Neodiprion lecontei: one gene and its partner. The protein of the gene in region 1 binds, or shares a complex with, the protein of each later gene. Links are inferred from orthologs where the notes say so. Each region holds a gene or a part of one and is shown on either strand. Other genes may lie near its edges.

The links.
Region 2: basement membrane-specific heparan sulfate proteoglycan core protein (region 1) and integrin-linked protein kinase share a complex: the UniProt entries of both Caenorhabditis elegans proteins name them as parts of the integrin containing attachment complex. The link is inferred for Neodiprion lecontei from reciprocal best matches to the Caenorhabditis elegans genes unc-52 and pat-4.

What each region holds. Positions count from the first base shown.
Region 1 is NC_060263.1:40,492,762-40,508,254, reverse strand, and holds the start of basement membrane-specific heparan sulfate proteoglycan core protein, read left to right. Parts: upstream 1-6,155; 5' UTR 6,156-6,606; coding exon 6,607-6,693; intron 6,694-15,493. UniProt on the Caenorhabditis elegans protein: Component of an integrin containing attachment complex, which is required for muscle development and maintenance. Probable structural role in myofilament assembly and/or attachment of the myofilament lattice to the cell membrane.
Region 2 is NC_060266.1:7,819,731-7,837,604, reverse strand, and holds integrin-linked protein kinase, read left to right. Parts: upstream 1-7,378; 5' UTR 7,379-7,749; coding exon 7,750-7,838; intron 7,839-9,016; coding exon 9,017-9,182; intron 9,183-9,419; coding exon 9,420-9,612; intron 9,613-9,699; coding exon 9,700-9,780; intron 9,781-10,111; coding exon 10,112-10,554; intron 10,555-11,047; coding exon 11,048-11,278; intron 11,279-11,354; coding exon 11,355-11,501; 3' UTR 11,502-12,369; downstream 12,370-17,874. Other genes in the region: SOSS complex subunit C homolog, read left to right, coding at 2,703-2,730, 2,824-2,957, 4,236-4,394; rRNA N6-adenosine-methyltransferase METTL5-like, read left to right, coding at 4,418-4,801. UniProt on the Caenorhabditis elegans protein: Probable pseudokinase that acts as an adapter protein. Component of an integrin containing attachment complex, which is required for muscle development and maintenance.

The DNA of each region.
Region 1 (15,493 bases):
GATTTCGATATTGGAGATTCTAAGGTGAACCAAAAAAATTGAGACTCGTTTGACCCTCAGAAGCTTCGGCTGCAATATTCTTGGCTTACTCCTGAATTAGTCCATGAAATTTTCTTTTCTTGTGTTCAACTATGATTTAGAATATTTAGAACTTCGTGGTTCTATTGAGTCAACCTGAGTTGCGGGAATCTGCAGGGTGTAAATGATACCTAGATTCGAGTCGGCATATCTCAACAATAAACGAATAAAGGACTAAGAGGTTTAAACGAGTTATAAAATTTCGAGTTAGGCATGGTTTCGATGTAAAAATTGCACGGATAGTTATGTAACGGTTGAAACGCCATATTAATAAATTTTCTTCCGGTATTCTTCGAAATCGCTTCAAAATTCGATTGTTTGAAGGATCGAGGGCCCATCTTGACGGACAAAATTATCCGGAGATGACGAATCAGGAGGAGAGACCCAAACCCACCGCACACGTGTGAAGTGATTCGGGTCAGGTTTGAAGTTTGCACGTTGCAGACGGCGGCCACATGCCGGGGAATACGTGTTGCAGATTTCCAATGCGTATGTATGTTAATGCATGTCGAGACGAATGGCATGGCGCAGTGTAAGTTCTGAGAACCTCGGTTACAGCCTTTGCGTGCAGGGCAGACTAAATAAAAGGCACAACGACGCGGGCGCGACGTCTCGGCTTGAGAGAGAGAGAGAGAGAGAGAGAGAGAGAGAGAGAGAGAGAAGAGATTAAAGAAGGAGAGTAAAAAGACGAGCTGATCGTTGTGTATGCAAAAGAGAAGCTAATGTGAGCCACAAGCGTGTGATGCATGCATGTATTGAGGACAGACACTCGCAGTCTCTGTAAGACTCGAACTTTATCATTAACATCATGGCCAATTCCCTCTCTGTAATTCATACCAGGTTCCATAAGGACTTTGGGCCGCATCTATATTTGGCGGCAAATAATTTGCATCTGTTGCGCAACGTACGCAAATGGAAATTTCGACGGGATCTTCTTATACCATTCGGTGGTTTGTACCTCGATGTGTACAATGTTCCTGTAACTATTGCTGAGGGAGAAGAATAAAAAAAAAAAAGAATACTTGACATTTTACATTTATAAATGAGCGTTGTGATTCGCGCTTGTATATTTTCACGTTTTTTCTACACGATCTGTACTTACTTTTATACGAAAGAAAAAAATGCCAATAAATTATGTTCGAACTTGTATTCTCGGGCAAAATTTTCATTCCGTACAATAAAATACGTTATTGTAATCTGAAAGTTTGTAATACATATACCGTGTTAATTGCGAATGGACAGAAAAAAGATGCTACATTCATCTGCACGTGTAGTTTCTGAAACTTCAAATAAACAATTCGTATTCATGACACATGGGTGATGGCATAATTTCCGAGGTACTTAGTTCTTTTCTTGTACGCAGAGTGAAATAAATTTTTCCTTCAAAAATACACAAATTTCTTTCTGTTCTCGCTTTGTGCTTTACGTCCGGTAACTAGGCCTCCGCTAATTGTTCATAATCTATGTATATACGAAACGGTTTATTCTTGTATATTTGTTCACCTGAGATTTATCACCCGGAGAAATATTATCGATTGGCTCGCACGTCCGGTGTGGATTTTTTGCAAATATTAAACGTGCGAGGTACGCGAGAAACAGAGGAAATAAAAGTAAGAATTAGTGAGTCATGGAGACGGGTGGAGAGAGGAAAGCGGAGCGGCGACTGGGCCTAGAAACACGACCGTAACCCTAAATTTTAAAAGCTTCGTATATGTAAGAACGAGGCTGCGAAAGAATTAGGAGCCTTGACTCCGTGTCAAAGTCGTAAAAATGGTTGACACTATCGAAAATGTCAACGATAAATCTCGATTATGACGCGAGCTAATCCGGGGCTGGGGATGTGTAATAAACACATCGAACGGTCCAACGCAACGATTTAAGCGTCGTGTGTGACAAAATATATCTATGCAATGGCAACATAATTTCAGACCTGCGTCTTGGGCATATGGTGATGCACGCGTGTTTAATGCACGCGAGTAATGAACCAGTTGAGTATTATTCGACAACGGTTAGATCATTTCTCGCGTCCATGTTCCCGCACTTTACGATTCGTCGCTGTAAAACTCAATAATGCGAGTCGTCAGGTCGTGACACGGTTCTGTAAAGACCAGGATCCCTTGCCCGCTTACAAAGGCTCTCAAACACAGAGTTTCCGCCTATTTGTACCTGCTCAAATTTGAGTTTCGCGCCGTTGTCGTAACGTCATTCAGCACTAGCGACTCGCGGATCGTTCTCGACGAGCCGCGGGAAATTTGAAACTTGTCTAAGAACTATGAATGCGCGAGCGTGGTTATAAAGAAGAATTCTCGTCGATCAAGAATTGGGTTAAGTACTCGAAGATAATTCCCGAAAGTCGGAGCGTCGCGAGACCATTTCTGTCAAAGGGGAGTGGAACAACTGAGTGAGCCCTTTAACCGCAATGTCAAAGTTCCGAATTAAGGAGCGAATGAGCAAACAATTAGACGGTGGCATGACGCATACGTCATCCAATTATCAATGTGCAACGTTCGATGGCGCACATGCACTAAAGTGCAGTTCTTTGCCCGACGCGTATGACCCGAAATAAGAGCAAAGATGTTTCCACCGGGTTTAATTGTATGTAATAAAAGTGCAGGACGGCGCGTCTCTCGATGTTAATTGTGCAAATTAGTGTATACATACACGCGCATAAACAGTTTGAAAAGTATCTCAATTGAAAATTTGCATATGCGCCAGAAACTGCAGTAGCAGCAGCGGTAGCAGCGACGAACAGAAGCTGGTAAATTAGTTTCACAATTTAATTCCTAATTAGACTAAAATGAAGTTTAATGTGTTTCGCATCGTTAACATCGGTGTAAATTTTTTCATAAAATTCATACAAATAACGAACGTTACATCATTGGTATAATTTTCCTGTTAATTAGCTAATTCTTTTTAGCATAGAACAGTATGAAAGATAAAAAAAAAACGCGATTTTAGTATTTTTCGTCGAATCTGTAAATGATTCTTCTTCTTTCGTTATATCATGTATCATGTTTGTAGCAGATAGTTGTAACTTTGGTTGCACAACACCGTAATTCGAGGGTCAAGGTCCAAGAAATAAAGATACATTTTTATCATGTTCATAGCTTGTTTAATTATACATTTTTCTACTGGATTATCTCGCTCGTCGTTTTACAACCCGTCGTACGAATATCGGTCGGTGAAAAATGCCGGTAGGTGTTACCGTGCATATATTCAAATATAGAGGTGAATAGATATAGTTTTTGCATAATTTTTAATTATTACTCACCAGTGTATTTTGCGCGTGTATGCATATTTTTAAGTAAAGATAATGCCCAAGTTACAAATCTGGCCAATAAACTTGTCTAGACGTAATCGTAAACTTCGTGTCTCACTCCCCTCGGTTCTTAAGCTCTGAATTCTCTATGACCCAATGAAATCGGAACATACAATTATGTATTCGTAACCTTTCCATTAGGCAATAAGTTTTTTTTAAATATCTTTACGACACATTTTTAATTGTGATATACGCGAAAAGTGAGATACACTCTAAATTTGGAATACGGATGAACTTATCAACTGTACGTCAACAATGAAGTAGCGAAATCGATCAGACGATCAAAAAGTACTAATATATATATTTGTCTGGCTAGGTTCTCACTTTTTGCCCTATTTTTATGAGCTTGTATTCATACATTCATCTCTCGAAAGCCTTTTTAATTTTCTCCTAACAAATTAACGGAATGTGAGTATAATGTCGTTAAATTTGAGGTTATAGATACAACGCGCTCGTGTTTTCGTAACCGGTTTTCGGTATCGTTACCTTAGACGTTAAATTATTTATCATTTATACACCTAACAATTAATACAGATCGAAGCTCGTCAAATTAGACTTGATTGCTGATCATTGAATTATTATCAAATCTGTAAAATATGTTTTGCCACAAAGCGAACGCTAGCTCACGTTTCGGTTAAGATTTCAACGGCTTCTGCACATTGATTTATTGCAAACAAAGTTGAGATGGATTCTACGGTACATGAAAAAGGTTTCTGTACTAGTCGAGGTGACTGAAGTGGAAATTGACTGTATGGGATGTTTTCGAAAATTCATACAATCCCCATATATCAGCGCCTAAATCCAATATGGCGGTTCAGATAACAACCATCGATAGCTGTGAAGTTGGTTCATGTCTGCCTAGAGTTTTGGCGCGTGTTTCGAGCGCGGTTTCGGTCTCAACTCCAATGTGTGATAAAGTATAGTGAAAAAAATCGCTATTCCGCACGCGCGGAATCCTCGCGTCCGCGGTGGTCCGCGTACCTTATATTCGCGATTCTTAGGCGAGTCTGACGCACTGGTAAAACTATGTACGTTATACCTAATATTAGCCCCACAGTCAAGTAGGTGATTAAATGCCTGCCGTATAGGTTTTCACGCTCGCCGTTCAATGCGGCAGCCAGCTTCTGTATAATACACATGGCGATATATCTATGAATATCATCTATACGATTTCACTATACAGAGTGGCATTCCATCGAGATGAAGAAGTAAATAAATAAATGTATGAATAATGGTAAGCGGATTAAAATAGCGGTCAGACTATCGTTCCAAACTCTACAATTGTCATTAATTCGGAAACAATTCCCGAAGTTTGCGTATTGCTCTTGCAGTTATTTTTATAGTGGTACTCTACGATTGAACCTTCACGAACATTTTATCGCCTCGATTGAGCGGCGATTTATAGTTATAGTTTATATTTGATCTTTTTTTATTTTTTATTATTTTGCACAGTTATAAATTTGAGACATTCAGAGCTTGACACTTGAAATAGTTCACGGCGCAGTTCAAAGATGAATAGATAATCGACGATGATTTATAAAACTTGACAATTGATGACAATTTATAGGTGGATCAAGATTGGTGGGCGTAAATCACACGTGTGAATCCAAAGATATCCATTTCCGAAACGGAATGCTGGAATCTATTCCGATATGAATTTTGAAATAGTGATTTTAAGCAGGTTCCACAGTTAAATATCCGCAGTACTTGCTGATAATTTCATTACGAATTGGTCGCACGTTGCGTGTTTATCAAATTAACACATTCGTGAACTACGGTGATTTTTTCGAAGAAGTAAAACATAATTTTCAAAAGAGAGGACAGGTAACCATTTTTTACATCGAATTGCCTCAAGATACCGAAAATTTTTGTGTATTCTTTCGATTTCACTCTGCATGTGACGAGTGATTTTATCCTGAAATCAATTTTCGCTACAATCCCACTGTGACAGTTTTTGCTTCCTTATCACGTTGGTACCGTAAAACATGTAATTCCGCAATACCGATCTGACATCGATTCGGCTCAACAAGTAGCAATTAAAAATTGGACATTCATCGAAAAAAGAAAAAACAAAAAAGAAATCCACTTCGGAAAATTTCTAAGTAACGACTTTTCAAAGGGCGAGAACAAAAAAAAAAAAAAAAATCATCAGGTCGTGAAATTGAACAAGTCTAAAACATTTTTCATAAAATCGATATCGAAATTGTGTCTCATAATTTCAGCAACTTTTTGCTCGTTGAATTTCTAGAATACCCAGCATCGCAGCTTACGAACGTAACAATTTGTTGAATGCTCCGTGAAAGCGTTTCCAAAAAATCTCGATATTCAATCCGTCGCAACGTTGCGAAAATCGAACGATCGAAGGGTAACGAACCCGTTGAGTCGGTGCTAAACCGTTTGGCGTAAACTGGTCCGGACAGAAGAGGATCGTCCGGCACCTTGACCGGTAACCGGCTGAACCGGCAACGCGCGCACCGAGCGTTCAGAACAGATCGGATCGGACCGTCGCGTCGTCGAGTGTGCGGCTGCCGAACGGAGCGGCGGGGCGGCTCCTGGAGCGAAAAGCGATGCTTGCGAGGTGGCGCAGGAAGGGGGGGGGGGGGGGGGAGGGGGGATGGACGAAGGAGGGGGCGCCACAGCCGAACCTGAACCTCGGCGGTTCGCCGCAAGGGGGGGGGGGGGGGGAGGCGAAACGGGTGGAGAGGGAACCACCACACGGGGCTTTTGAAAATGTTTTATCTTAGCCGGCGCGCACGGCTCTCAGACGCTACCCAACGCCGGTACGGTGTGGTGTGATCGTTGAAGCTGCAGAGCGTGACGACGAGCAGCGTCTGCGGTAGAGAGATTCGTTCTAAGGAGTCGGATTCGATCAGGTCTGCAGCGAAAAATTCGCGGGGTTGTTACGGAGCTGGGTGGAGAGAGAGAGAGAGAGAGAGAGAAGGTAGAGACGGCGGGTAGATTAGGAGGCGCGGTAAATTTGAAAACGGTTACGAAGGAACGACCAGTAAACAGGAAAATACGTCAACCATGAACCGTTGTCGCTGAAAAGTTTCGACTGACGGTTCGAAATCATCGCGCGGGTTTCCATCGACGGTTTTTCGTACTGCTGTCGCGGTAATAGATATAAAAAAAAAAAAAACAGAAATAACACCTTTGACCAGGCTGTCGAACCGTTCGCTTTTCGGCGATCGGTAATTCGCCCTTTCGAGATGACCACCAACGGCAGTGTTTTACTCAGGAGTGCTCTTCTCGCAGTGCTACTCGCCGCTTCCTTCGCTTCGGCATCCTTCGAAGAGGTGAGTTCATTACACACGTTTCTCATCGATATAGAACTTGATGGATGTATGTGTATATAGGTATATATACCGTCATCGCGATGATTCTACAAGAATTGTAAGTCTGGTTTTAGAAAATCGATAATCAGTTTTATACTGTATTTCCCTCCCCACGATTTACCTCGAAAAGTGCCGGGTCCTTCTTAAACCCGACAGTCAACGTTTTCATTCAATCACATTTCGTTCCTGAGAACCATATCCGTATGGATAATAAATTGTTCTTTCAAATTTGTCAAATTGCGCATACACAGGTATCGGTTAAATACCAGAGCTTGATAATCGATCACCCACCAAGTACTCGTCTCGCTCTATTTCCATCCGAAAGTGCAGGCAAAGAGATGTTGGAAACAGGTTGAAACCGATTGAGAAAATGAAGAATTGAATAGTACGAGTATCCGCACCATTTCTTTTAACGTAACCGTATCGCAATTCCCGCTGTATAATCACTTTACAATATATCACGACGAAAAGGAACTAAAAATATAATCGTACGATAGAAAATAGGAGGAAAGGGGAAGGAGGTAACTGGGCCGCTTATTAGGTCGGACGATAACGATGCGGTTACATCTGCGGGGCTATCGATCACACGTGCTTTCGTTTTATCGATGACGGATCCGAGCGATTGTGATTTGGGAATCGCAGAAATCCTTGTTGCGATTACACGTCTGCAAATGGCCTCCGTTGTACGAGCCGCGACGGTAACGTGAAGGGTATCGACACATACAGTCTAGAACTCGGATTATCCGTCGTAGCAATTGAAGTGTAACACACTCAGGGGTATCCGTTTCTACGTCTCGGACTGCATCAAGTTCGACGCACCCTCGAGTTTGAACAGAATTAAGGCTTCCTTCATCCGATCATCCTGCGGCTGTCGCTGATGGATCAGCCCTGGTCTCCGACCGGAAGTAGCAAAGTGCGAAAATTCCCGGAGACACTGACAAAGCGTCGAAACAAGTTCGCGATGATAGTTCGGAGATGAAAGATCGTTGCGACGCGTGGTTACCTTCTACTTAATGAGAACGGAAAAGCAAGGTGGGGATAAAAATGTTAGAAATCAGAAAGATTACCGCATCGGTTTCTCTAAAACGCGAAAATCTATTTTGTACAATGATTTCGAAGTATGTGCAGAAAATTCTGCTGTATTCCAAGTCATTCTGACGTTTCTGCATCGTGGTTTGGTTCTGTACTTTGATCTTTTCACATTTCGACATTATGGATTTGAAAAATACTATAAATAAAAATAAATCTTGGCCCTATGACCCTTGAATTTTATGGATCTCTGTGAATCTCTACCCCCACCCGGAAAATCATGTAGGAACAGAAGGAATGGGGAAGTCTTATTCTCGCGTGCATCGTAGCACGTGCGTCCGGCATTTCTGGTGAACCTCTGGATATCGAGGTCGATTGACAGGTAGCTCGGGATTTACCTCCCAAACAACATGGAGACGCCTATTGCGTGGCAGCCGTGAACATCTGTATCAACATGTGCCCAGTACCTAAAACCGACGGTATTGAAACGATACCTTTGCGGAGAACGCGGTTCACAACTGATTGTTGTGAACCGCAATTTGTTTAGCAGTACTTTTACCTCGATTGGAAGTATGTCGCTCGGTTGGTGTCATGTTAACTCGTAGGCAGCGTAGGTTTCTTCTTCGTCTGATACCTAATAATGTACCTTAATTAATTTGCCCGAAATACGACGGATCGTCAAAATTTGACACTTTCCATGATGGGCAGAAAATTGGCCCACGGAAATTACTCGACTCAGAGACGTGATAGCATATCGCATACACGCCACATCTGGTCTTCCTCATTAAGTATTTCGCAGTGTTATTGCATAATTCGTTCATCTGGATCCGATATTTTCATCTGATTTTATGCTATTTTAAGAATCTTGAAGATCGTGAACGATGATATTTGGAAATTGAGGAATTGAGCTGCTTATTTATGGTTTTATTTTCGATCTTAGTCTGCGTGTAATCAATACCGATTTCAAATATAAAATAGGTAAGAAAAAGAGTTCGCTCTCATATTTCGTTCCTCGAAATATCCTATACCGTTGAAGTTTCGTTCGCTAAAATAAGGTTCCATCAAGCGTAGCTTTTTCGTAATCAACGGTAAGATAACAGGCCTGCGGAATAGAACTTTTAATATCTCCCGAATAGTAATAATGCTTTTTTCTAGGTATTTAGATATGCTGAATTAAAATGTAGCGAAAGTTTTTTTTACACCGTATCGAGATTTATTCTTATGCAAGATACGCATATTTATAAATTTTTGAACAATGTTTATAAAAAAAAAAAAATATATCAAATGTAAAACTTTTTAAGTATAAAATTAATGGCATTAGTTTTAAACAACACTTAAGAGACTTGTGACATCTTTTTCTACTTTCTTCAAAATTCCTGTTCAATCTTTTTCTCTTGTACTTACCTTGATCTAAATATGCTTAACGTCCTCATAAACAGCAACTGAGGGTTGATAAATATTTAAATACCAACATTACCATTAATACATATAATTGCCACAGAAATTGGAAGCGAACTCTAGTAGTACGAAGAATACAGAAAAGAAATGTAACAAAATTTACGTGATAGAATTTATTGAATATCTTTTTCATAGATTCGTGCCTAATACCTACAGAAATTACTACTCAATTTTCTAGGGGTAGAAAACCGTCGCAGGCCTGTGTAATCGAACCACATTTTGGCGGTGTAATTAGATAAAAAAAAAAAAAAGATAGGAGATAAGAACGAAGAAGGAGAGAGAAAATATGCGGCCTGGAATTATACATTTGCGATAATTCGAGTTTAATTCAATTAGATCGTTTTTCGGAGTCTACATATAGATATTTGCGTTATGTATGTATATATATAAATATATATATATATATATATGTGTGTGTGTGTGTACAGGTATGGATTTTTATATTCGCGATTCGCACGTACAGCGATTCGACTCGAATGGCATATTATTCGGCCAGTTTCGGTGATCCAAGAAAGTAGGTGGCGGAGGGGGGGGGGCACCTAATCCAGGTCCCAATTATTGTCACCGGTCCAACTCTTATAATTAACTTTTCAATTAGCCGAATTACATCCGTCATTTAACCCTGCGCTGCACACTGTCACATCCCGCCTCCTCGGTCGTCAACCGAACAGGACATAAAATACGGGGATGAATTAAGTGAAAAGGAAAAGAGTTCCGGGGAAAAAGGGGAATTGAAAAAAAAAAATTTTTTAAATTAGAAAAAAAAAAAAAAATAAAAGAAACGTCGGAATCCGTAATAAAGAAAAGGAGAGCAAAATCGAATCAGCTGACGATCGGTCGCCTCGGATAGGACTTTTTTTTCACCACATCCCTAGGACTCCGTTTAAAACCACGCAATTGACCGCGATCGTCAGAGTAAAACGGAAAGATTAATCATAGCGATGAGAAACAAGCTGCGGTTTAACCCGTTTGGAAAAAAAAGCGACGGAAAATGCAGACGAAGGAAGAAAGAAAGAAGGAAAGAAAAATCGAATGCGTATATATGAGAGAGAATGGATCGAGACGCGTTTGGAGATGTTTCCATGTGAAATTTGAGACGAAACTAAGCAAGACGGGATTCTGCCCTGCATCTGCACCCCAAGTCTGGCACTGTTTGTGTTCGTAAAACGCCTCGACCTTGGATCACGTCTGGGTTTGCCTGTCGCTTATCCAGTCTGACGGATGAAGGTCTCCAGGCAGCCCTGCAGGCTGCAATAATTGTGGTATCAATGCACGAGCTAAGAATTACAACAAAATAATCGATTTTCGATAAAATCCATTATTTTCTCCCGATTAATCGATTATCATCGATTATTTTTCGTCACAATCGTTTTTTGTTTCTTTTTACTCCCACGGACGGTGCGATTCGATATCAATTAATGTGATTAGAGTATCAATTATTATTCTAAGTATTACTTATCAAGTACCTGTTTGATATAGTAAGTGAAAGATAAGTGAATATTTTCACCTGAAATTGAAAAATATTTTTTATGAAACTATAAATTATCAAAAAACTTTACCGCAATTAAGACTACGTGCTGAAATTTACGAAATTTGTGGTTTCGTATGCGCCGTTTCAAAAAAAAAAAAATACGATGTAATCGATTAATCGATTAATTTTTACCGATTCAATCGAGTCGTGCTCGATTATTTTTTTCGACTCGATTAATCGACGCATCGATTATTATTTTATGCTTACGACGATCGTCGCTATTATGAGCCGGTCCGTAAAATGTTGACACCTTCTTCGGAACAATTATTCGTTCCAAATCAGAGTCACGTCGATTAGTTGTGCACGTCAGAGTTCTGGAGGTTGGTTGGCCAGAATACGATAGTTATAATTAATTTTTTTAACGTGATAGTCGCACAATGCGTGCGACATTCATCAAATTGTTGTATGTATATTCGGAAGCTACGAAGACCTTTTAAAATAACAAAACCCGAAAATACTGGAATTATAAATACAAGGTTAGAATTACCGATGCCTTATTTTAATCAAAATACCATCTCCTCCGAAATCGCCGAAACGGATTTACTTTTTTTTTTTTGCAGAGGACAATTAGAATCGTCATTTGTCGATTATAATCAATACCGACATATATCGGTAGGTACTTCAAGTATTAGTTTCGATGAATAAAAATCGTGCGACGACCTTCGGACTGAAAAAGAAAAAGAAATCAAGAATTTCGAAATTGATGGATTCTCGGACTTTTTGTTTGTGCTGAAGCCGTTGAATGACTTGACTGATTTTAGACAAATTTCATTTAAAAACTGAAAGGCAGAGAATTCGAAGCTTGAAATTCACGAACGGTTTTTGCAAACCAAAGATTTGATTTATATTATACGAATGCAATAAAAAACGGAGATTTTATCTTATGAAAAATATGGTGATTTCGAGACACAATGTTAGGATTTCCGTTCTGAATGCGATTCTTCTTCCGTCGCTCAAATCGCAAAATCCCTACTATCCGGGCTTTTATTGACCGGGTCATAGGACGAATCGCTTATCCATAACACGTAGTTATTTGCGAGCCAATATAAACGCAGTTCTTTCCCTCGAAGGGTAGATTAAAACAAACTTAATACGTGAATTCAGAACTAAACGAGATGCGAAGAATCCGTTCATCTTCGACGATTCAATTATACTTGCGGTAAGAAAGTTTTTCAGCACTTGACATGCTTCTTTAACTTCTTTCTTATAAATTGTTTTTCCCGATCTCTTTTTACCTATGCAACTTGTTCACATCACCCTTTTTCTTCTTCTCTAGAACGAAAACGAGAATCAAGAAGAAGCCACGCATAATGAGCTCGTATTTATATCGTTGATTATTGTCTACCATTTTTTTTAAATTTATTCACAATTCTCAACAGTCTTAAAATTCGATATATATTCGAAAATTTTCAACTCACGGAATAAACTCTGCGCGAAGATGTTATTTCGTTGATTAATAAAAGGTGATTGAGTTTTAGGTCAGTTTATATCATCTACGAAAAAACCTCTGAAATATGACGAAATTCAGAATGAAGTTTGTAAAATCAGTCAAATTCTTATAGACGTACATCTATCCGTGTTCTCTGTAGTATCAAAGCAGTTAATGACCTCATTGTATGTACAACTACGTAACCACAGAATCACGTAATGAGCTTTCCTCACGCATAGCTGGATATGTGATAAAATTCCGAGATCTGGTTGAAGCGATCCAGAAACTTTTCGAACCGTTGTGGTTTTACTTCGCACAAGTTATTCGCCGAATCGTTAAAATTTTGTCAATCTGACGCAATTCGCGGTCGCCGTAGAGCCATTGTCTGTTTTAAGGGTTTATACCTAATCAGGAGGCCGATAAAAGCGATTTATTGAAGTTTTTTTATCAAGAGACATTTGAATTTATTAATATAAAAATTTATATACATATTGGGGTAAAATTGAACTTCGTTCTGATATTTTTTATTTGTAAGAATAGTGATTTTTAAAGCTGCTATAGCCGATCTCCGCAAGCACTTCTGAAAAAAGGCGTTTTGCGGTGAAAATTTCTGGACTGGAACAACCGAAATGTAAAAACAAAAAAGATCTAGTTAATATAAGGTATTGTCTGGTCTTTGATGGAAAGAATAAGCGAAATATTAATTCATAACAAAACAGTGGCTTCTCAAAAAAAAATTTCGATTTTCCATAAAAATTTTCGCCCCAAGTTGCTTATAAAATGGAAAATATTTACCGGCGATAAAAAAACCTTCGATCAAGGACTGAAAAATATATTCATAAAGCTTGTGTGAAAATTTGAGACTAATCGGTTCAACCGTTTCCGAGAAATCTTGCTCACCGACTTTGAAAACATAGTTTTGAGAAGAACGCATTCAAAGTTCCAAAAGCACTGCCAAAAGCTCCGAGGGCGTCTTTGCAAATTTGCGCGTAACTTCGAGAATACTTGTCGGATCGACATGAAATTTTTTCCGCATATACTTGAGTATACGTACATTACGAAAATGAAATTAAGACACAAAAATAGGTTTTTGAAAAATCCCGACTAATTATAACCCTTTAATCGTCTCGGCCATGTCTTCTGATCAAAGTGCGAAACTATCGTTTGTTCGGCCAACCACGCGTCCTGTAGGTGTCTGCAAATTTTTACCTGCGTATTCCGAGCTTTTACTCTGTCCCGCAAAAGTCGGGAATCCGATTCCATCACCGCCCACGCAGTCCAACCCGAGTGGACCGTCGAATCTCTCGGATTGTCTCGAGGTGCGTTGTAACTTTTGTCGGAGAATCCGAGTCGTGTCTCGTTGTGCGAGGACCGCAGACTCCGTGGTCACCTTTCTCGGAATATCAACCGTTAACTCTCAAGAGTTCAAATGAATAACGAGCACTCGTGACGTCCGCCGGTTTTTTAAGTCGAATAAATCCCTCGCCTGCTTCGAAAATAAACGGGTGTCGATGATCTATTTGTCACTCTGCACTGCTAGAAGTTTTATTTTTATATTTGTATATTCTTTTTCTGAAACGATTCTTTCTCTGGCTTTGAAAATGAACCCAAAACCCTCGTTTAAGGATCGTCCGTCAGGTGTAGAGTTCGTTTGAAATAACAATGACCAACGATGAATGAAAGAGTCACTAAATTGAGACTTGAAACGATATTTTTCTTTTATATTCAAACACAGGAAAAAGCCCGGTTGTTAACAACTTTTCGGAAGTTGTGCTGTTCTGACGTTTGTTCATGAAAAATGACAGCCAAACTCAATAAATCGTAGCCCATTTTGTTTGTAAATGAATTATCTACGAATCGACCGAACTCAAATATTTATAAAACTCTTAAATTGACCGAAAATAATTTCTCTAAAATCAATAACGGTTACGTATGACAAACAAATTCCTCGTTTCAAAATATATAAGCGTCGTTGAAGTTCCAGGTGGAATGATTACGTGGAATCAAGTTACTAATGGAATGAGATGATAAAGTATGCATTGAATTTGGACCAACTGTAAGAATTTATCAATCAACGAAACATCCCCGACGATATATAACCTCTCATATCATCGGTCACGTTTATCAATAATTTCTGTTTATTTCATCGCCAATGATATTATATCTCTTCCCATAGAATTGATCGGAACTTAATTCAGTTATTTATTCAATATGTTTGTCTCTCAGTTTCTCAGTTTTTACACTTTTTCAGTAGACTATACACCCGATCCATTCTTAACGGTCCCTCCTTATCATGGACCGTTGCACAGCTTGCAGTAATAATTTACAAATAGCCATGTGTGTTCAGCTGTTAGAACATCGGCTTTTTATGGAATGAAAGGGAGCCCAAGTAGGTAGGACACAACGAATTGACGACTTTAATTGACTCTTAGGTAATAAATTTTCTGAACCCTGTCGTCCCGTTACATTGTGCAAGGTATAATAACCCGAAGGCAGAATAAAAAATATACGAGTTTTAGGTTATTATTTGTGTTTGCACAATTGTAGAAAGATACCGTAGAACCAGCAGGCATCCCAGTCCTGTCATTCATAAATTTTGATCCGTAATTATTGTAGCAGTGTAAATATACAAGGTAACATAAGACTATAACAAACACGATAGAACTATGATTATTTTCATCTTATATAATGCAGCGGTGACATCAACTCGAGATAATTTAGTGTATATTGTATGTAATAGAACCGCTCGATTTATGACAGGGTTATTCTACTTTCTCATTCTTTTTTCGCAAGTCTGTCTTATTTTACACCGATTATATAATCTTCTCAAAATATATGTACAACCAAAGCTACAGTTTATAGTGGGTAAGTATTTTTTCTCAGCGCGACCAGCGGCCTCTTGACTCATTTTTCCTTGACTCGAGTCAGTTCTCGCTATAATGGCTGATTCGTACGTGTAATTACTATGAATAAATTTTCCCCACGACGAAGATGCGATAATGGTTCTTTTCTTGGCGTCGATCGGAACAGTTGTAACCAATAACTGTACACGCTTAATCGTGACCTTACGATTATCTAGTTTAAGCACGCCTCAATAAGCGGTGACGCATTCGGAACATCATTGATAAGGTGGAAATCGCATAAAAGCCTTCTCTGTATTATAATACAATTGTGTATTTCTGATTAATCGAGCTATTTTTTCTCCTCACAAGAGTGCCAATTAGTCCAAGAGCTAGATACATTTTTTTTCTACACTCTTATACGGAACTGGTTTTCTTATTGGAAAATGTTCAGCGGTGTCCCCTGAATGTAAA
Region 2 (17,874 bases), on another chromosome or scaffold:
ATGGATATTTTATGGCCGGATATCCGGCCAAACCGCTATCCAGCACATCCCTAATATTATTATTATTAGGGGTCATCGGCAAAGTGCAGAACTTGCAGGTAAAATAGTATCGACTTTGTCGGGTATATGTATTATATTCTCAAACTCGAAAATCCTAATAATCAACACGGGCACTGCCATAAATGTATAATAAAGCGGACAGATATGGGCAATTATAATCTGGGCCATTTGGTAATAAATTTGTGAACAATCTTGCGTTTAGGATCAGCGGACAGAGTCGTAATCTTACCAGGTAATATGAGTAGAAGTTGTAAAAAGTAACCTTGATCGTCTTTAAATTTGTTTTTTATTACTTTTGTGATAATGATTGCCTGAGGTTCATCGGGGCTTGCTACAGCATGGACTCAAACATTAGTAACAATCGAGTGTTACCTTATTTCCAAAAAATATTTACAAGTAGTATTTTTGTGTAGAATGGTCTGGGTTTTCCAATGCAAATAAACTGTGCTTTTAAAAAGCCATGGAAATCTAACGTAAGTTGTGGAAATCATTTTTGTATGTCAAGCTGCATTTCGGTTCGCAATGAAGGTATGAGCGTGATTGAAGATACATAACTCCGGTTAACGGTACGAGTTACGTATTAAACATATGTACTGTAACCTGGCATTTTTGATGCCCGTTACAAGTAGCTCCCGGAACCCCGAGCGAAACCAAAATTACGGGGTTTCCGAGATCGAGTAATATTTGCAAAAGAGTGGCAGAACTGGAGTCACGCATCCGAAATTCCGAGAGGGGACACTAGCGAATAGCTACTTAGATATTTCAGGCTATTTGTTTCTTTTCTTTTTCGAGTTTCAACGGTTTCAAGCAGGAAGTCAGGGTTGACTTAGGATATATACCTCAGTCAACGCTATTTCAGTAGTCGCGTGCCAAGGATATTATTGTTGTTATTTTTTGATTGTTATCATTATTTGCAAAGCAGCTGTATAATGTAGTGGACCGGAGAAATAAATGTAGGCAGGTACATGTAGAGGAACGAGAGCGGCGTCTTCATTTTATATTCGCATATACAAGACTGATTAGAGCAGAGGATGAGATACGACTGGCTGTTCAAGAGACACTAGCAGATCACGCTAATAACGCTTGAGCAACATTCCAAGCTTGACCTTACCGGGTTTCGCTCTGAGGGGCAGTGGTGTTACCTTTAGACTACGTTACAAGCTGTATTTTGGTTTTTCACATATAATTCAAGTGAACGTATTTGCAGTGATTCTATTAGTATAAATACGTAATTACATCGTTAAGTCTATGATCGTTACAGACATCCCTTCATCTTTGATAGCTGATCGCGGTCTTAAGGGGGGAAACCAGATTAGACCGATCGAAAAATCGTCTTTTTTTTTATTGCATGAATCGTTAGTATAACTATTCAAGAATATGTGGTCAAAATTTCAAAGCAAAATTCTCATTAGTTCGAATGCAATGAGCACTTAAGTGACCACCCGTCGGTTCTGTGAAGAAGCGCACGGTAATTATAACGGAGCGGTCGCCCAGGCCCTTCTTTTCCAGCTACCTGTCTCAATACCGCTGTGCTATCGAATAATAGAATGACGCATATGAGCAAGAAGAGGGATTGCTATATGGTGCTGGAATAGCTGATTAACCGGTGATCATTTTTTATAATTAATTACTGCCTTGAATTTCTCGTTTTCGCTACATTTTATTTCAAACGCGTTTTTCTCGAAACGACTTTTTTTCGACTAGCGTACATTCTAGCTCAAAAATTTATTGATCAATCGTTCTGAAATTTGGTGCAGATATTCTTTATTCAATTCCACGTAACATGAACCAAATTCGGGGATTAGATTGTTATTAAAAATATATGTTTTTATGCAAGAAAGATGAAAAAATATAGTATAAAAACATGACATTGTGTTCAAACACCTCAAAAACATGCAATTTTTAATTTGTTTGATCAAAACTAGGTTCATATTTCTAGAAAATATGTTTTTAATGAAAAAAAAAATCCTGATGATTACAGATAAAAATTGCGACGTCAGGGATGTACGCCAGCCAAATGCTCGGATGGCAATCGCCCATGGACTGCACGCGGTAACTCCACTATTTCCGGCGGAAATCGTTTGAAAAAATTTTAAAGTGTACTTGAAAACATAAATAAAATATCCTCCAAGTTTAAACAATTTGTGATTATTCCTTCCTGGTTAAAAAAAATCATGAAAAACAGCAAAATTTTGACCTCATAAACCGGTTTCCCTCCTTAACCCAGGTCCTGGCATATCGACAGTATGGACTACGCTTAGGCCAGTAGAAAACGGCCAGCTGGTAGAAAGAGATAGCCACTGGTGGCGGTCAATCTCTGTCTCTTTCTATTCAGGACCGTAGCAATATGACAGAGAGAGAAAGCAGTTGACCCCCACCTCATTCCTTCTGTGGGACACTTTTCGAAGGCCTTCATGCTGGGATTGCATAGTCGATGGCCTGGAAACTGCTCAGAGTTTAGTACTGCTTTCAACCACGGCACGCTTTTTAGCGCTACAGTCGCAGCCAATTATCAGTACACTGGTTGGGCCGCCGCCATCTGATTTCACACTAGTTGTGGCTAAGAATTCGTAGGAGTTGGACGTGTCTCGTGTGATATTACGTTAAAGCGTTCGGCTGCTGAAGTTTGACGTCCCTATCAAATGGCTTTTTCGCAACCAAATTCTAGAGGTAAGGATGTGAGATACTTCATACATGGTTATGTGTAAATTGAAAGTCCCAAAAATTATCGCGACTCCACGTATGCCTATTGTTTTTTCCCAGAACTAGAAAACAGAAAAATACTGGAAGAAATACAGTTGAAGAAGCAGCTACTTTTGAAGCAGGGCGTTACGCCTACTCTTGGAACTTCTTTGACTCCGCTTGACGTATCACCCGCTACTCCTGCTGCGACTGAGGTACGTCCGTCAAACGAATCCTTTAGTTTCGGATAAGATTAGGTTGGTTGAAGTGAGGTTAGGTTATGTTTTGTTTGTTTGAATCACGGTGTAGGAATAATAGGTGGCCCGGCTGTGATTATTTTTGCATAATTCTGTACTTCTCCACCAGACGGATATGGGTCAGTAAGACCACTGTAAACAATGATGGCGGCATGTGGTGTTCGAAAGAGAGGAGGGTAATTTTAGGTTAATCATGAGATGAGCGTGTCATATTTACAAAAATATGAGCAGAAGTTGCAGTTGAAAACATAAAATACCAAAAATAATAACAAGTTATAAAATATGTGAAACATAAAGCAATACAAAATAAATATAAGTCATAATAAACCTATGAGGTTAAGGTTCGTAACGTTGACGCAACAGAATAATCGAAAACAAATTTCAACTTTGAGGGTTCGAACCTTTCAAAAACAGTAAACTGCACTACATAATTTTCCAAGTTGATTAAGACATTGTGTCCTGCTTATTTTGCAATTATAACAATATTTGAGTCACAAAATTGTGCTTTTTCCGTGTATCTTATTGCATTAACGTTATGAATTTCAAGCTGCTAAAACTTACGTTTTCATCAACCTACATAATTTTCTCTTTTCACGCTTATGCTTTAGATCGTTTCGAGTACGAATTTTCACCCATTGTGGTATTCTCATAGTTATGTAGTAATGCATGATATATGATACAATTTCATCCTTGTGTTGTTCGCTAGGAAATGAAAAGCTGTAATTCTGTATCATATCAGACACAGTAGGTTCATATACAAAGGAATTCTCAGATTCTATGTGCTCACAGAAGTATTTGATCGGGGTTGAAATGTTTTTGGCAAACATATTGAGTCCTTTTTATAACTATCCCAGTAAGAGCAATTGTATCTCTCCATTTATTACATATTTCGATTGCTTTGGGAACGGTGAAAAAAGATATATCTTCCCTACACTCGTCTTGCGCACGTTGATGACAAACATGACTCCTGCCCATATTTAAATAATGTTTTTTTTCTCATAGTTTATAAATATCGTGTTATTGATTTGTTTTGAACACTGCGTTTTGCCATTATTGTTTACAATGGTCCTACAGATCTGTAACCATCTGGTGGGCGTGCAACGAATTATGCTAAAATAATCACAAGCACTTGGCATTGCGGGGATAGGGCAGCCCGACCACCTATTATTGTTACACTGTGGTTTGAATTCACGTGGATCGCAACACTATCGCACTTTAAATATTTTACACTATCAGCAGAATCCTGCAACAACGGTGGATGGTATAGCATTGAGTGCTTCTCAAAGTGCAGCCCTTCAGAACGCACATGAAGCCTCTACTGGGTTCTTCGTCGCCCAGGACTCGGCCTTTGGTAACTTGATCCTGCCAGTATTCCCGAGGTTTGAGATCCAGTGAACTACTATCAGGCATATACAAGAATGGTTATTGTGACTATAATGGTACCCATGCGATTCAGAGAGCTGGAAGAGTGTCTTCAACAATTAGATGGATTTGAAGAGCCAAAAATTCGTCTTGAACAATATTCCACGAGCGCTCACATCGGGGCGCACATCCTGCACACAGCATACACACACTTTGACGATATAGGAGGAAAGGCTATTGCTCACTTGGGTGCAGGGTGTGGGGTACTATCACTCGGGGCCCGACTTCTTGGCACTAGTCATGTCGTCGGATTTGAAATTGATGCCGATGCGCTGTCCATGCTCAAAACTAATTGCCTTGAGTTAGAAACTGATGTCGAGGCAGTTCACTGTGACCCCAGTTGTGATGAATCTGCCTTTTGGCTCAAAACGCAATGTTAGAACGGACGTCAACTTTTTGGAGACAACAGTTAGTATTGCTTGACATGCCGTCTACTCTCTCCACAAGACTAGCACCCGGGATCATGTGGTTAGGACTGCAAAACGCCTTGGAACAACGGCAAAAATCGTCGCTGAATTACGATACGATCTTCCTGGAGCGTACAAGTTTCACAAAAATACTTCCATTGATGTCCAAGTCGATTTTATAAGACTTGAATTGGATTAGGTAAACAACATGAAAAGACACTCATCCTCACTAATCAATTTCTATGTGTAAGCATAATGGAAGATTTAATAAATTTGTACAGAAATAGTGTTGTAGTTCTTTTGTTTTGTTTCATTGTTATTTCTACCTGCATAAATTATGGTTTGATTTTTTCACAGTTCACTCGAATTTGATCCCTTGAGCCAAGGGTAATTCATTCCCATAGTCGATCGTTATTGTTACCCGTCTGGCATAGTGTTTCCACGCATCACTCCCATTCCTTGTCCTCAACCAGTCGCTTTTTTCTCCACCAAATGCTCCAATTTCTGCCCCGCTATATATCTGTATCTACAATACTCTGGTACGACAGCGCAATTAGTGGGCAAACAAGGAAAACAGTTTGGTCACACTACGATAACAATCTCCACCACTTAAAAATAGCAGAGTTCCCAGGCCTGTGTGCGTTGACTGAGAATATATCATAGTTTATGGGATATATAAAGACTGACCATGATTATGTGGCAGCTTTGGTTGTCAATTGCAAAATATATCACGTGACTGGGTTTTTGTACCCCAAATTGAGAAAGCAAAATGAGTGTCAAGTATGTCACAAAGCCTTTCAGTCAGTTAAAGAAAATGATACTCTTGGCGAAGAAGAATCGATTAATATGAAAACCAGAGGTGGTTCAATTCATGGCAATATATTTCTGTTATCTCTTTCATTAGCAATTGAGAAATACTTCTGTAAGCACATAGAATCTGAGAATCAATCTGTATATGAACCTACTGTGTCTGATATGATACAGAAGTACAGATTTTCATTTCCTTGCGAATAACACAAGGATGAAATTGTATCATATATCATGCATTACTACATAACTATGAGAATACCACAATGGGTGAAAATTCGTACTCGAAACGATCTAAAGCATAAGCGTGAAAAGAGAAAATTATGTAGGTTGATGAAAACGCAAGTTTTAGCAGCTTGAAATTCATAACGTTAATGCAATAAGATACTCGGAAAAGCACAATTTTGTAAGCACACTTAACCAACTTCGAAATCACAGTCGCCGAGCCGCAGCCGTACCACCTATTATTCCATATCATTCTTACACCGTGGTGCCGGTGTTAGCCTAACTTTTTGCAGATGCTTTACGATACCGTCACGAGCGCATGCGCAATGCCGTAAGATAGAGATGAAGCTACATATTGTGTATATATATATCAGTGACATATTATGACGCTATCTCTTTCGGCTCGCTCATGGAGACTAGAGGTAAGAAGTCTGAACGCAATGCTAGCCAAATGATCGGTGAAAGTGATGAACGATCCGCGGATTGTAACCGCCTGGCAGCGCTACCACTGCAGGCTCCGTCAGCGCGGTGATTTTGAATCGTCGATCCTACGTATGTATCCTATTCGTAACCAGGCGCTGGTATCGCTTGCGGATACATCCCGTCTACAAGATTTTTCATCACTTTCACGAACCACTTTTCGACGATTCCGCCATATGCGTTCGGACTCCTTTACTCTAGTCTCCATGGGCTCGCTGCTCCTTTGTGCCGTGTAGGCCGTGTAGGATAGCAGGTGTAGGTTTCAGTGTCGTTGCTGTGGTCCGTGTCGACAAATAAACGCTGCATTTCCGTAATGCCTGGTCTACACATACGCTGTAAGTGGGGGTCTTAAAGTGCGCCTCCATTAAAGCTGATGTGTAGCCGAGTTTATATGAACTTCAAGCGCCTTCCACTCAAAGATTTTCTGAATTCCACTTTAAGCTCAATTTTCAACGAGAAGTAGTGCCAATCGTACCGAAATGACAGATTAAAATCTCGCGTGGTTTGAACCCGTTCTTTGTGCTTTGTTCTTTTCCTCGGTCGGCATTTTGCCGTAACCAAGTTTGGTACATATTTATTACTTGAACAATTATTGATATGAAAATATAATCCATGTTCAAGTATCACCAGAGTTTACAACAAACAAAATGAGTTTCGAATTACAGATGAGAGATATGTTGATTATAAGCTATTCAAAAAATGAAAAATAAAAGATAGGTAAGTGATTATTAATTAATGAATAAAATTGCGGAGAACATTGCATTATATTGCTTCATATATTGTATTACTGAGGTTATAAACACTAACTGACAGTTTTTAAGTTCTTCTCGTTACTCCGTTTGATGGCTAACAAGACTTTCTAACCTTCGTGTAGACCAGGCATAAGCAGTCGGTAAGCGTAGGGCATTGCCGTTACTTCCGCACCCTTTCGCTTCTTCAAAATGCCCTATTGAGCTGGCCATCATGAGCGTTCTTTAGCCAATGGCTAAATCGGAATGTCGATCATGGCAGTGCCATCTAGAGACAATTCATAGAAGCTTGAGACGAATGAATCTGGGAAGCAGCGATATGATCCCGCATGCGACATCGCACGATCGCACACGGTGATTTATAATTAGAGATGTCAGCGTAAAGAGTTACACAATATTTGGGTGTGTGCCGATGGAGTTAGAAATACGATCGACAGTGTTAACGATTCATAAATTCTCATCCCAGAGTTAAAATCGTCGAGTTATACGTTTGGTGTGTCCAGTAGCTAATTGCAGTTTATTACAATCATTGATATACGTGCGTATAAATATGGTTATATTTAGAGCGTGACCGAAGTTGCTCTTTTTCGGACGTGACGGAGTCGGCCAGCTATATTATTTTTAGAGAGCGTTAATTAATTGTTATAAACCCCTTTAACAATGGAGGATATATTTCACTGGTGCCGTGAAGGAAACGCGATGCAAGTTCGCGTCTGGCTCGATGACACCGAACATGACATGAACCAAGGGTAAGATCATGGGAGTTGCTCATTACCATTTATGGTTGAACGCTGGGAAGTCCGCTGCAGTTTCGCAATCAGCTGATCTTGACGTGTTTTCAGCACTTTTTAAAACTCTTGTCACTAGTTTCCAAATTATTGCAGGAATCGGAATAATCGCTACATGATGCAGGACAAAATTATGAAAGCTCTGTAATAACGAATCTTTTGATACATCAATGTATAATATTTTTTGTACGAGAAATTTCTTATCAAAACTCTACCACAATCTTGTTATGTTTTTTTCCTTAGCAGGAAACCAATGTCACCCATCCGTATTACTACACTGTGTAAAACATAATGCATATGCGTTGTACTTGGAAGACCCAACATTATTATGTCTGAAATTTTCAGTAATTTGTGATATAGTGAAACATACGCATATTTTGCTAACTACTTTTTTTGAATTCATTCCAGAATTACAGAATTTATATTGCTAATTTGACTACCCTCAGTCTCTTACCTCTGTAAATATGTTACTGGAATTTGATAAAATAATGAAAGAACAATTGTCACAGAGTGCCAAAATTGGTGAAGAAATGTTTGTCAAAGTTTCCTCTTGTCTGCACAACAATGATCGACTTGTTCACTTTACTTTTTAATTTGTAAAATCAGTTTTGTCAACAAGAAAATGAATGTCACTTTTATCTACATGAAAAAATAAATGATTATTCTTTTAAAATAATGTTTGAATCATAATCACAATATAAATTGTGAAGAAAAAAATTGTACTGACCTGACTTATTGAATTTTTTTTACTCTTTTTCTCCTTTGATAAACGAACTTGCTTCCGAAAAGAATAATGTTTGATTTTCATGTCTTGCCTTCCTTTTCTCGTATAATTTAATGCGCCGTGGGTCGGAAAAACCAGTTCAACATTTCGTAAATTTGGTGATACCCTGTTGATATTGTAAGCAAATATTATATGCAGTGACGATTTTCTTGACATCGACAACAAGAAATTTGTTTACGTTATTGCTCTTGATTATAGCCGAAAGGTAGGCATTATACAAATCAGAAATATGACTCATGTTCATGTAAATTTGAGGACAGTGCATTATTTTAAATATTACATTTCCAACTAACAGTGAATATTCAAACATTCATATAATTCAACTCTTGTTTCCATTTGTTTTAATTTTCATCAGGGATGATCACGGCTTTAGCCCGCTGCATTGGTGCAGCAAGGAAGGCCATTCAAAGTTGGCTGAATTGCTCGTGATGCGAGGAGCTCGCATCAATGCAACGAATAGAGGAGACGACACGCCACTCCACCTTGCTTCAGCACACGGGCATAAGGACATTGTTCAGTTGGTTAGTATTCGATATTTGTCGTACTCCTTTGTATTATTATAAGGAGAGCATCTGAAAAGTTACACCCCAATAGTCTCGAAATTAAAAACTGTGTTCAAACAACAAAGATCGGGTCAATAGTTTTTTGCAAATCTTTATCATAGATCAGCTAGATAAAATTTGCTCTTAAAGCCAATGAAAATATGTATCGGTGAAATTGAGAAATTTTTTTAATTGCAATTCTCTTCTTTTTTATAGCTGCTGAGAAATCGTGCCGATGTCAATGTGACCAACGAACACGGAAACACCGCTTTGCATTATGCTTGCTTCTGGGGTGATCAGGCGGTGGCGGAGGAATTGGTAGCCGCTGGAGCTTTGGTTTCCATCGCCAACAAAGACGGTGATACTCCGCTGGACAAGGCTAGAGGACCTCTGGCAAAAAGATTGCATGGTAATGGGATATACTTTCTCTTCTTTATTATTGTAAAATGTTATACATAATACCTAGTAATGAAGAAAATGTACTTCGTTTTTTCAGATCTCGCCGTTGAATACGGACAGGACTTGAAAAAGATTCATTTCAAGGATCAAAGTTGGCTTGGATTGAAAACCAGGAGCAGTGAGTATCAAAATAACTAAGTCAATGATTCAAGGCGTGGATTAAAGAAAGGCTCGAAACAATCGACTCTGTTAATATTGTACCTTTATATGCTTGTGATATTAGTAATGGTCAGTATCTTTTCTTAATCTGCGTCAAGTTAATTTGAGATTTACTCTTTAATTTTTTAACTTCTTCTCAGCTCTATTTTCTGCACTCTTCCATTATTTACATAACAAAAAATGCCTTTTGACGTGGATATGGTCGATTTTTCTAAATGAAAGTTTCTTGCGATCGTTCACATTTCCTCGCTATTGCAGTAAAACAGATGAGAAAATCCATGTTTTCGCAGGGGATGCAACTTTGTCAAGACACAAAGGAATCAATATGGCGGACTTATCGCTACATACTCACTTGGCGAGTAGTCCGAGCGGTGAAACCTGGAGAGGACGGTGGCAGAACAACGATATCGTGGCAAAAATACTAAACCTCAGAGAATGCACCTCTAGAATATCAAGGGACTTCAATGAGGAATTTCCCAAACTCCGAATTTTTTCTCATCCCAACATTCTCCCAGTTCTTGGCTGCGTTAACCAGCCTCCACAACTCGCGACCGTCTCTCAATACATGGCCAGAGGCAGTTTACATCGACTTTTACATGGAGGAACTGGCGTCGTTGTCGATACAGCTAGGGCGCTCAGATTAGCATTGGACGTTGTGCGGGCCATGGCTTTTCTGCACGGGCTTGAAAGGCAGAGCAGATGTAGATTTCATCTTAACAGTAAACATGTCATGGTAAGCAGGGGAAGCAAAAATTAAAAAAACACTGCGTAGTACGTTATCTGATCTTGCAACTAGGTTTCATTGAAAGACACCGTTACAGGGTGGCGACATAAAATCTAAAAATTTTGCAGGGAAATATTGGGAAGATATTTCTTTTTGTTTTTCAGAATATTTTCAGTTATTTTGTAATAATAATTGACGACAAATTGGATATCAATACGATTGCAATAAATCGAATAATTTTTCGATTTTCACTTTGATGTAACAATTACTTAATATTACACACGATTCTCTAAAAGGTACCTTGAACAGCATATGAGCATTTTTGAATCATGATATTGGGTATTAATGGCGCAAAAATGGCAAGGAAGCCGGAGAAAATAGGCTCATTAAATCAGGAAAATTAAAAAAAATTAAACAGTCCGATTTCTGGTGCTACTCTGTATTAAAATATTGAATTGTTTCATGAATCCTGAGAAGTGAGCATGTTTCTCATGATTTCCAGATAGACGAGGATCTCACTGCAAGAGTAAACATGGCTGATTCTAAGTTTTCATTCCAAGAAGTTGGAAGAATTTACGAACCCGCTTGGATGTCTCCGGAAGCATTGAATAAAAAACCTTCTGACATTAATCTCGAGGCCAGCGATATGTGGAGCTTTGCAGTCCTGCTCTGGGAATTGGCAACCAGAGAAGTACCGTTCGCTGATCTTTCCCCCATGGAATGCGGCATGAAGGTCGGATGCAGTTACTGCAATTCCAGCTTCCGTATGACAAACTTGCCTTAACGAGTCGAAATCTTATCTATTCCAGATCGCTATGGAAGACCTGCGCGTCAGTATTCCACCAGGGATTTCTCCTCATCTTGCGAAGCTGATTCGCATATGCATGAACGAAGATCCTGGTAAACGTCCCTCGTTTGATATGGTCGTGCCTATTCTTGATAAGATGAAACGCTGATGGGTTACAAGAAACCACATTGTGTTCATTTAATGTTCTTATTTTATATACACACATGCATGTATGTATACGTCGTAACAAGCACCAAACTGCTGCATTCTTTTAATACAATCTAACGTAATATATATAACATCGTATAACTTTTTCACTTGACTTAATAATAATAATAATAATTTGCATTCACATTGCATGTTCACATTGGTGCCTTGAATATTTGAAATAACTGTAATATTTTTGATAGAATCTATGTATACTATACAAAACTCCTGCCTCCATGATTCTTCCAACTTATCCAATGTTTATTATCATAGACTTGAACCATGAATATTTGTTGAACCAGTATGTTTCACCGAATACTCTCAGTATATTATTCATTAGTATACATATTATATATTTGTATTATACATTTTCACTTTATATACCCGTAATGGATACTTGTAAGCTGGAGTTGAAAGCTTTATCGTTGATGCCTTTGTACAAATTATCAATGTTTGATTTTTTAATATTCTACCGAAGGTCTGAGTTGCGTTCTACACTGTTTTATATACACCTATACATATATAATTCTTCAAATGTTGAATATTTATATGCATAAATATATTTATATTTATTTGTCGATGTCCGCTTCTTAGTGAAGAAAAAAAAAAAAAAAAATTGTAGAATTAAATGCTTGTCTTGACCTGCATTGTGCTTGCCACAAGGAAACATCTGCAATACTCTGTAATTGTCCTTGACATTTCTTTTCGCAATTTTTAACGCTAGAGATTAAAACAATGTGTATTTTTAAGTCTAACGATCTTGTCAATTTATGTTCAAGTTTCATTATTTACAATTCGCCAAAAAATAAATAAATCTCAACTAAATCATACATTGAGTTTCAATACGGTCTGCAAATTCGGTTGGATGCAAACCATGTTTTATCGATCACGTCTTATCAAGAAACAGGTCTAATACAAAGTGTCTCAACTATTTCATTCCTGCCGTAAAATACCTTATACTTAATACTAATTATGCAATACGCATGGTCTGTCCTTGTTACAATATGTTTTTTTATTAATTACGTAGTTTTATATACATCCACCAATGTCACAATATCAAATACCTATCAACTTTTGCGTAAAAAACAGTTCATTCTAATCAATTTATAGTTGTTCCCATAAATTTCGATATGTCCTAAAACGAAGTCCTGCAAAATTTCTAGTTAATTACGAGACATTGCTTGCTAATAATTGAAAACGCAGAATATCTTACTGCTAAAGATTGTTTGATATCCGAGGATTGTTTATAATGTGGCCTCCATTTCTTGGATAGGTAATGTAAATGAGGGAAAATAATATGGATTAGTGTGGAACAGGCATTTTTCTTTATTGGAGATTAACAAAAAATTCAAGTTCAACTTTCCAGAAACCTCTTATCACCTCAAGTTCACCTGCCGTTGTAAGAATCTTGTATTACTGTCAATCACAGCGATATTGTGAATTCAAAAAACGGTGCAACGAAACTGTGAATGATAAAGCGATATCTTTTGACAACTGAAACATTTATTACACAACTTATATAATTACTGTTAATTCATGAGCATAAGAAATCCCATTTGCACTTGATTTTTGTTTCTTACATAAGCTGAACGTACAATCTATTCGGATAAACTTATTTCGACCAAAGAATTTTTAATTGACAGGATTAATGGTTATTCTCGATAAATATAAAACGCGATTGTCTCTAGATTGGCTTTTAAACGAATTACTTTTCTGATGTCAATTACATTTCTTGTGTGGTATAAGTTGTAATCGCGTGAATTCAAATTTAATTGACTATAATTATAGGATTGAGTGCAATGAAAAGACGGGTCATTTATAGAATAATGTGTTTCAATTATTTCTCTCGTCAGACTGATCATTCAATTGACATTAACTTAAGTTGAGACCAAATTCATTGACCAGGAAAAATATATTATATTCAGCTTGTACGACGTATTCACATTATTTGAAATTGGGTGAGCATCAATTCAGTTTCATAATCATTTATCTGTATGAAATGTAGTTGAACGATATTTTTGTTACAATTATTTCAGTTTCAGTATTTTCTAATCTTTATCATCGTATGAAGGTGATATTAGTGATATATCGAAAAAAGCTAGAAGGAATTGAATGATTCAAAACTTGAAAGATTTAGGGTCAAAGCGAATGTTGACAAGTATGGAAAGATTAAAAAAATTTTTTTTTTAAGTATCCCTTCTTATGTCAAATTGTTTCACTTTTACATTCAATTCGCTTTCATTTGCTGTGATATTCAATTCGGCATACTCAGCTGCTATTTGATCGATGTTGTGTATAGTATAATTACTTTCTATACATCCTCAAGGACAACACCCTTCTTCTTATATTGTGACGTACGCTGCAGACAGTCTGTAAATTGACATACACTGCATATTCAATAGCCTGGCACTTGAATACTATTAAATACTTGCTTACTGAATTGCCTGATATTGAAGACTGACGAGATCAAGGCTGTCGACATAATCAGTGCAGTAATAGTTCTCGAATCGTAAGTATAGTATAGTCACTTGTTATCGCGATAGAAGAAATTTTACGACTACCAAGAAAATCAATTTGTTAACGAATTCCACGATACATTTTTTCCAGAAGGCGCATTGAAGTAGGTTGCCCATTTTTTCCGTTACAGTGAGTTTTTGTTTCGGGATTTAACAAAAATAAAACTGCAATCAATTACAAATTTTCACTGATATTCCACTAATTTCCAGTGCATATACACTGACTTTCGCCAGTGGTATACTTATAAGTGATCCGCATTCAGAGAGAAAGATAATAATTGGTGAAATCAAAAGTGGTCAGTTTCAATCGCATATTGAGTTGGCATGCATGCCCCATATTTAAATTTTCCAACTAAAATCATTGTCAATATATTGTGAATTTGAAATTTATGACAGTGAAATTATGAATCCATTATAAGAAATTTTCGTTGTATATTACAGTGGACTGAAGGTATTGAAAAAAAAAGAGATTGAGATAACTTAGCTGTTTAATTTGAAATTAAATTATCCACGACATTAGCGAGTAGTTGAAATTATGTGAGATCGATTTCAGCCTCATTACTAACGGAACTACAGGAAAGCAAAGGAATTCTTGAAGCAGAAAACTAGATTTTGTTGGAGCTGATTCACTTCAATCCGATATCCCTTATTTGTTCCAAATACGATGACTTCAACAATTTCAATTTAGTTAGTTGGTTAAAATGATTTAGTCAAGCGAATTTCTTGATTCAACTGAAGCCTTTCTTGTCGCAATAGAGTGAACTATTGATTCGAGTGAACTTTTTGATGTGTTTTCCTAATTGGATCAACTAAATACCATTGCATTCGAAGTTGATGTATTTTTCCTCTAAGTCGCATGTCCGTTGACAGAAACAATTGGGTTAGGTTAGGTAAATATACTTCAAGTAAAATAAATGCATGAATCTAGCTAACAAAAATTTACATCGATTAAATGCCATTCTTTCTTATCTAACCGAAGCTTGTTTGGCGTAACTGGTTGAATCAGTTGCACTAATTTATTTACGAGGTAAAAGAAAAACCACATGCTTGAAACAGGTAGAGAGTATATTCGGCGTAATTATCGGTATGCTAGTACTATTAACGTCCGCTAGGCGGTGAACTTTCTCGCTACGGAAATAGCTTCAGAGATATTTATAAAGTCGGGTAGTCCGCTTAGCAGATTCGGGGATGACGCGAGATAATACTGTCGATAAAGATGTAACGAATGAAATACAGCATCTATTAGCAAGGTGTTGAGACGCTGGAATTGTGATTAATAATAACATTTAAGAAATATATATGTATAAGGCGCATCTGATCATAGTTAAACATCTACGCACACGTCAATCTATCGAGTTAAAACTATTAACTTATTCAATAGGATGGCCTGGCTCTAATAAGAGTCGGAAGCCCAGCCGTTAAGGTGCGTCGGATAAAATTTTGAGTTATTTCAAATACACATTTTGTTGATACAAAGTTCTCATAATCGCAAGGAACTCACGCCGTGCTATCTTGACTAAAATGATCGTCAACATGATCATTCAAAGGCGGCTTGATTCGATTCTATATTATGTTCTCATATGTATTTCGCCCGACAAAAATATTTTGTTGAATTAAAGAAGTATTGTGTTCGCCGTATTTGACTTAAGGATTAGTTGAATCAAGCAAATATTACTTGACTTGAATTATCGTTTCCCTCCGTTCAGTTATTACATATTTTTACTCAAGACCCACTTAAGGCTCCAGAAAGTTGATGTTGATCTAAGAAAGATTATAGCACTCGGGCTTATTCACTTGTTGGATTTTTACGGAGTTGTATGGGATCTTTCCCCTTTCTGGATTAAAAATTTTACTGATTGTTTTCGGGCCATTTCATTTTTTGTTCTGAAAAAAGTGTTTTCTTAAAAATTTGTACACATGTTCAAATTTTGCCGCCATACGCAATGACGTTGTCGGTACGGCCCTGGGTGTAGAATGAAAATGAGTTTGATAGACGTGACTAGCAAAGCCAGTATGTACTAGTATTTTTTTTTGATTGTGGCACTCGTACAATATTTTCTTGTAACAACTCCGATAATTTGAAGTTAGTGTGCAAGAATAAATTAATGTTAAAATGTTCTTTGAATGACTAATATATGGTAAACTAACGGAGCAGAATTATTATTGCATTAACCAAAATATGTAATATTTACAACTATAATCACACTAAATAGTTATACTTATATCGCCAGTTTCTTGTAATTCCAATGATATTCAAAGCGTACAAATTTCACCAGGATTTTCTAGCAGCTATAAGAAATGAAAATTTTCCTAATGTAATTTACTCAAGACCGTGTAAAAGTTGATTATATTAATCATTGAAAATATATAATCACTATAAAGTGTATCTGATCCCAATATGGATTTGGCAATCACGTAACGAGGTAATATATTTATCGTTTGTACAACGAAACAAAATTTTGGCAGTCAATTTTATAGTTCGGAGCAGTTATTCATTCCTCGAAAAATTTCAAGACCACTTTCAACGGATAAAGTGTATTAATGTTTGGTATTATAAGCTCATGGAAGAGATTTATATGATTAGTATGGATGATATAATGATACAGTGTTTTGATTAAGATTCTGCGATGGCTGCAGGTGTAAGTTATTCCTGACTACAACAGTAGATATAAATGCAAATGTCACTAATCTCTTTATGAATTAGACGTTATGGTTGAATTTTTATTTGGAATGCGTGTCTTCGTTTTCAAGAAAATTAACGCCCACAATTAATCGATCAGGCGTTTCAGGATCCAACAAGTCTATAAAAATTTGTCATTCATTAGAAAGTCTAATTTTGCAAGTATCATTCTGCTGATCCAACAATAAGTTGCACGAAACCACCACTTGTCAGTGTTGGTTCACATAATCGCTGTGTAAATTCAGAATAATTCTAGGTGGTGCTTATACTTGTTGCCAACCGACTATTTTTAGTAGAGACTTTTAAACAGGGAATTACATCAAGCTGCTGTATGACCGCAAAGCCGCGCATACTCATCCTGCATGTTACACATCGCCTACCGGCGAAAATGTTGATTTACGAGGTGCGCAAAAAAATTACTACGATTAAGCAAACATGTCATTTCTTTTCATACACCTTGCGTCACTCACACCGTTAATGACGAACTTCATTTCGAATTGGCTAGTAGGCGGTAGAAGATATTCATCAATGATCAAAGTTCGAGTTAATTCATTAATGAACAATCTATTGCCATTTGAAATTTTGCAGACAAACGTTGTTCAATATATTCGACCCTTGGAAAGCTTCATTGTATGAGACAACGGTAAGTCGATACCATTATTATTTCGTTTTTTTTTTTTCAAAAAAGCGGCTGGTATTGATTATTAGCATTTCACGACACCTGGCTGCATGCTTGTGTAATACATGTACTGTGTGTATATTTGCTTTTAGTGACGCTCAATAAATATTAGTCAGCCAGCGTTTCGTGATACGTGCACGAATCTTGAGCTGTGTCGGCATACAAGTGTAAAAATATAAAAGAAAAGGTCCGCAATTCCCCACGTGAAAATGGTCATATGTTGAATCATAAAATGTTTTGAAAGAGTTCAGCATGTAATTTATTACATGATTTATCTCATAAATTCGATAAAATATATAAGAAATTACATAACAGATTACAAAGGTACGAATCATCAACTGTGTAGTGGGATGTATTATGATTTTTGGTCCAGTATATCTGTTGATTCGTATTTTTGTAACTTACATATTGTGTGATCTCTCATATATTTTAATGGCATAAAAAATTACACAATAAATTA